Kluyveromyces lactis: one gene and its partner. The protein of the gene in region 1 interacts with the protein of each later gene in a pairwise test. Links are inferred from orthologs where the notes say so. Each region holds a gene or a part of one and is shown on either strand. Other genes may lie near its edges.

What was found.
Region 2: the proteins of KLLA0_F01298g (region 1) and DFM1 interact in binary tests that used the Saccharomyces cerevisiae proteins (3 or more experiments, as listed by UniProt). The link is inferred for Kluyveromyces lactis from reciprocal best matches to the Saccharomyces cerevisiae genes UBX7 and DFM1.

The regions. Positions count from the first base shown.
Region 1 is NC_006042.1:120,492-123,877, forward strand, and holds KLLA0_F01298g (UBX domain-containing protein), read left to right. Parts: upstream 1-1,496; coding exon 1,497-2,678; downstream 2,679-3,386. Other genes in the region: serine/threonine protein kinase CHK1, read right to left, coding at 1-1,069; phosphatidic acid-binding protein CHM7, read right to left, coding at 2,786-3,386. UniProt on the Saccharomyces cerevisiae protein: Involved in CDC48-dependent protein degradation through the ubiquitin/proteasome pathway.
Region 2 is NC_006037.1:187,129-190,251, forward strand, and holds DFM1 (Dfm1p), read left to right. Parts: upstream 1-1,542; coding exon 1,543-2,391; downstream 2,392-3,123. Other genes in the region: ERD1 (Erd1p), read left to right, coding at 1-246; rRNA-processing protein RRP17, read right to left, coding at 293-1,024; carnitine O-acetyltransferase CAT2, read left to right, coding at 3,004-3,123. UniProt on the Saccharomyces cerevisiae protein: May be involved in the degradation process of some misfolded endoplasmic reticulum (ER) luminal proteins.

The DNA of each region.
Region 1 (3,386 bases):
CAGAGTAGCCGTTTCGCAAATTAGCCGGTAAACTATCTATATGTGCAAGCTCACGATTGAGAGGTTGGGTGAACGACATCTTTGCATGTTGATTGGCAAACACTTCCTGCGTAGAAGATAAATAATCGGCATCTGATAGAGAAACTTTAAGCTTTGATAGTAATTTTTCTGCAAGCAAAGAAGGATTTTTACAAAGGCCATTTTCATCTGCAAATTTCGGATTTGTTTGATACCATGTATGTTTCCGTAAAGTATCCAAAGAAGCTCTTTTCTCTGGATCTGGTTGTAATATTTTTCTCAAGAGATTCAATTCAACGAAATCTATCTTCAGCCAAGATCCCTGATCTAGCTTTCCTTCGCCTTTAATAAAGTTTCTAAACGTTTCATCGTCCTCGTGAGGAAGTTCCCAAGGCGTTTCTCCAGTCAACAAAACGAATAATAGAACACCAATGGACCAAATATCTGTCATATCAGCATAGTACCCATCACAGTATATTATTTCCGGTGCCATGTAGGGAAGACTTCCTCGTTGATCTCTAGAAATACGTTTTGATCCATCTTTTCTCTTGAACAGCGATGCTAGCCCAAAATCTGCAAGTTTTAAATTCCCATCTTTATCCAATAGGATATTTTCCGGCTTGATATCCCTATGGGCAACACCACAGGTATCATGCAGATAACTTATAGCTTTTATAAGTTGTTTATAATAGAATTGGGCGACTTCCGAGTCGACTCCAATGTCAGGTTCGATTTTATCGAAAAGATCACCACCTTCAGCCAGTTCCATGGCTATCCAAAGAAACGGATCAGAAAGATTGCAATCTATAACCTTTAGCACATTAACAAAATTAGAGCATCTAGAATGTAACTTAACTTCCCTCAACACATCTTCCTGACTCATACCTTGTTTCTCACATGAAGGAAGATGTATGAATTTGACAGCAATTACAGTGGACGGATCAACTTCTAAACTAGCTCTCTTCACAAAGGCAAAGGAGCCCTTCCCAATTGTTCTTCCTAGTTGTAATCCATCAATATGAGGGAGCTGAGCTATCTGTGAAAAGCTCATCAATACATCAATCGAAGTGTTCTTCTTTTACTTCTTTTTTGTTCTTGTCGGTTCGTATCTCAGAAATCTCCAGCTATATCAGCCAAACGCACATTCAATATTTACGCAACTGATGTGCTCAAAATATCATCCAACCGTCCTAACTGAACCCCAAGTGATTTACCTAGGATAACACGTCGGAGACTCGTATATAAATCCCGTTTTCCCCATAAGTATCATCATAAAACTATTGTTTTTCTTTTCTGATCAGATCTGCGATAGTCATTAGTTTCTGTCATTTCTTTGCATTTATAAAAACGTACATTGAAAGGGGTTTTACTACGTTTATAGTTTAATCAGTGAACAATAAACAAATCCGATACTGTTGATAGAAGCAACGAAGCAGTGGTGAGCTTTTTAGGAGTGGTAAGTGTAAGATTAGGCAAATATGAATACGATGGATACACTGGATACGCATTTTGTTTCCTCTGTGGAAAATGCGGTACAAGAATCATTGCGAGAGAACAAGGCGTTATTGGTTTATACTACGGGCGGAGATAATTCGTGGTTTGAGTCGTGGTTTACACCACTTGTAGGGGAGCAGTTGAAGGATTCGTGCGTTTGGTTACGTTTAGCTGCTGGAAGCAGGGAAATGGGTTACTTTGAGCAAATATTCCCGGATGTGAAGGTTCCTAGCGTTTATTGTATTGCTAAGGGACAAATAGTGGAGATGATAAATCCAGATCAGTTGGACATGGACGGATTTGCTACTAGGTTGATCCGGGCAGTTGGTAAAAGCAAGAGGAGAATCTCTGAAACGGATGCCGTTGATGCATCCAATACCGTTGGTGCCGCTGGTGATACCGGCGCCAGGTCCGGTAGCTGTCTGTCACAAAATGCGAAATTGATGGAGTACCAAATAAAGGCCAAGAAGCACCAGTTGACAGAACAACAGGAAAGAGAACGTATTGTTAGATTGATGAAAGCGGACCGTGAAGAAATGAAGCAACGAAGATTATCGTCATCATCTCCAAATCATACTAAGGAACACATCAATGAAGTATTGGCTGTACCCATTCACGATAATATTAAAAACAGAGATATAATAAACGCAGCAGTGTGCACCTTGCTTATAAGATTAACAGACGGTAAGACATTGAAAAACGATTTCGATTCGTCTCAAACTTTAAACGATGTAAGGACTTGGGTGGATGCCAATAGGACAGATAAGGATGGTCCGTACCAGTTCCATCGAAGTATTCCACGTGAAACTTTCACAGAATCACAAGAATTACTATCTTTGAAAGCTCTGGAGCTTACTCCAAGATCTGCATTAATCTTGAAGCCTTTGGAAAAGCATACATATTCTCGTAAGATTGCAGATGTAGAAGGACCAGGTTTGCTTGGGAAAATGTATCAGAACGTGACGTCCTGGTGGTACGGTAAATCAACGGTTGTTGATCAAAATATTCCTGAACCTGCTGAAGCATTAACATCTCAAGCTTCATCTAGATATGTTTCTCCCTTATCTTCCCCTCGTCTGGTACACTCTGATGCATCGATACCCTCAAGAGCTGTCTCTCCATCTTCTATACATTACGGCCATGTCTCAGACGACAACAGCAGATAGCACACCTGATTTATGAATCGCCTTTATGTTAAATATCATATGTATGCATGAACGAATTAAATATACATATTAATACCAAATATGAGCAATCACTCTTATCGGAAGAATTAGGCCAACAGTTTCTCGGTCATCTCTTCCTTTTTCGGTTCCTTCACTTCCGTCTTCTCTGCACGAGGAGAGTCCCTGCTCGATACCCTCAAGGATCCAAGTTTCTTTATCAAATCTTCTGTTGAGCCAGATTCCAAAGGTGCTGCAGATTTTTGTTCTTCGATCTTCTTTTTCTCCTTCTCTTTTGTATCCTCTGTTGATAGCTCCTTCTCTAACAGTGACAATTCTTCTTCAAGAGCATCATTGTCGGAAACCGACTCTCCTACTAACAAATTATGAATACGGTCTTGCTTCTCTGTATTTTCTTGGAAATCATCTAATATGTTTGAAATAGAATCTTCATCTAAAAGTTGTGAATTGATAGCCTTCAAAGCGGTACTGCCTTGTTTTAAAAGATTAATCATAACCACATTTTGTGAAGCATTGGATATTTCATCTTGGAGTTTCCTAAGAGATTCTAAACTCGTGTAAGCTTGTTCCAAGTTCTTTTCTGAGCGTTTTTTCAACCTAAGAAGTGTTCTCTTAATCTCTTGAGAAAGACCCGATGAAATAGCGCTTGTCAGCCGTTTGGTAGTAAGATCTAGCACCTTTTGTGCCGAT
Region 2 (3,123 bases), on another chromosome or scaffold:
GACGGTCTTTTAAGAAGCATTTTGTTGTACCGGAAAAATGCGTGGTATTATAGCGCTATGGCGCTCGATTTTATTTTGAGATTCGTATGGTTCTGGGAGTATATCAGTGGGCACTCTGTATTTTATGGGGAATTAAACATCTTTTGGTTACAAATTTTAGAGATAATCAGAAGATGGATTTGGTTATTCTTTAAAGTCGAGGTAGAATACATTGCAACAACAGAGGGGGGGAAAATGGATGAATGAGATGTTTAGAAAGAGAGGAAGATAATAAATAAAAAAAAAAGGTTAATTACTTCCTACGTTTATTATTGTTGGCCTTTCTTTGATTTTGTCTTCTCTCGTTCTTGGTCAAGTATCTGAACTTCTTATTCTTTTTACTCTTATTACCAGATTTTTCTTCAACTCCCAAAAACTTTGCATATTTCTTCGCACGTTCGATGCTTTGATCTAAAATTTGTTCCGATTTCTCTAACTTCACATTATTTAATTCCGCAAGGTACTCAAAATTGTCATTGGGCTCTAAGGGTTCGATGTCTACCGTAGTATCATCTAAGTAAGTCTGTACATATTTCTTTAAGATCGGTTTCACACTAACAGAGTCAGAATCCTCTTCTTCTTCTTCAGTTGCATCTCCGTTATCATCGGAAAATCCCGTCCATTCTTCAGCCTCTTCATCGCTTCCCTGTTTCCCATTTTCGGCTTCTTCGTCGTCGTCCTCTACACCGACATAATCACCGACATCTTTCATCGCCTGTTTAAAATCTTCAAGCTGTTTCTCAAGAGCCTTTTTTTTATCTGCTCTGATCTTGGCCCTTTCCTCGAGCCTAGCTTTTCTCTCTTGCTCTTGGATGAACTCCTTGGCTTTCTTTTGTCTATCAAGCTTTCTCTTATGGAACCCAGTTAAGTATTCCAACCGTGAGTCCTTATCGAACTTTACCTCATCAGCACCGAATTTCTTAGCAGCTTTCTGCTTGTAAGATTTACCACCGGTAAGAATCTCACGATTACTCTTTGCCACCATTTTCACTCTATATCCACACTGCTACTCTGTATCTTCTGCAGAACTTGAACCGGTCTCAGCACCACCTCAGTAAGTGAAAAGCCTATCTGCTTTCTTCAGCTCATCGCATCAGCAAGTTTTTCCGTTTTAATGCTTTTTCCAAATATTGAAACTTCGAGATACAGAAAGAAATACATAGATAACTATAACATGATTGCATAAGGGCAATCTAGCCGTCCTGACCTAATTTATCTAGACCAATTCATATGCTCTGCCATGCACTAAGTAGAAAACAAATCTAGGCGTATACCTGTGTAGAGGATCATTACTTAACTATTCAATTTCTGTCATTCTGTGCTTTCCTATCTATGTCTTTCCCATAGCTTTAATTTTCGGGTTCTATGAAATTTCAGTTCCAAGTTGCAGTGAAAGAAAGATATTTATACTCACTATACAGATGCGCTGTCAAGATAGACACCGGAGGTACCATTCAGTAACATCAGTGGGATATACGATACGCGTGATTATTCATAGCAGCCATGACTATGCGTAACGAATTGATACAGTTTGTAGGACAAATTCCACCGGTGACCCGAGGAATATGTCTCTTAATGGTGTTAATATGTTTGATCCAACGCTTGAACGTATTACCGTACTATTTCAGCGATTTCAAATGGTCTTTACGTGGTGTATTGTTCAAGTTCCAAATCTGGAGGTTGTTCACTAGTTTCCTCATCTTACCAAACGATGCCATGAAAGCATGTTTCGACCTATACGCAGTATACTCGAAATCGTTACATCTCGAATTAGTGCACTTCAGCAACAAATCCATCGATTATTTGTTTTACATATGTTTCAACTTTGCATTGATCGTCGTGCTCGTAGAAGCATGCCAGATCTCATACCCAGTGTTCACTAACGCATTCATAGGAATGATCCTATATACGTGGACTCTGGACAACAGCAACGTGAAGGTAATGTTCTACGGATTATTCCCAATCTTGGGTAAATATCTATCGCTAGTGCATCTTTTCGTTTCGTTCTTATTTGATGACGGGACCGATGGTTACAGCAGGTTTTGCGTCACAATGGTCGGGTTTTGTGCTGGATACGTTTACTCCTGCCTAGACACATGGACTTACGGTCCCTTGTACGGTTATCTGATGGGGAAGGACCCAGCGTACGGATTCTCTGGAAGAGGTCATTTCAGATCACCAAGATGGTTCTCCTCGATCATTCTATGGATAGGACGTGTCCTATCCATCACCTCCAAACCCGTTTCGTCATCAAACAGGACAGACCCCGTGACCAGAAGAAGGTTGAGAACCCCGTTAAAGAAAAGCACTTTCGCTGGAACTGGAAATAGATTAGGGACCAAAATAGACTGATTAAGGTACTAATAATCCGACATACTGTTATCTATATTATCTACATCTCCCTTGTGTATATATCATTTGTGTTATTTTATTTACCCCAGGTTTAATGGAAATATGTCGACAATGGAAAATTGATTTTGTATGATGGTTCTGCCTAAAAGCCCGTTATGGCGAGAAAATAGTTGATGATCAAAAAGTGTTGGAGCAAACGAATGACCACAGGGACCAAGAGTGGAGGTGAAGCACGTCTTGGGTACAGGATTGCAGAGAGTTACTGGTACAGGTTCGTTGATGATCACTCGGTTCGGACGTATATAACGGAATGGGCTCTTGTGTAATGAATGATCAGCAATTCGGATTTCTCGAGTTTCAGCCTTTTATGAATAAAACCATGTACAAATGAGCTAGTATTATTTAGTATATATATAGCTGCATTTCAGAAGTTAAGGACACCTTTCGCTTTTAATAGGTTTGTTCCGAAAATGGTTTCCTTGCCGGTTTAAACAACCAAAATCATCCTCAAGAAAGCGGAACACGATATAGAATAAAAGGTTTCAATTGTTGTGATATTTATTTTATTTATTAGTTAAATACCCGTTGTGAATACCAACACCAACAGTGACGATGAGAAGTATGGCATTTAGAAGCAGTGCTGGTATTAGTATGGGGATGAGACGCATGGGTCAAGGTAACAAGAAAAGTTCTATATTGAGACAGATGTCTGGTAAGATGCAGTATTCGGGG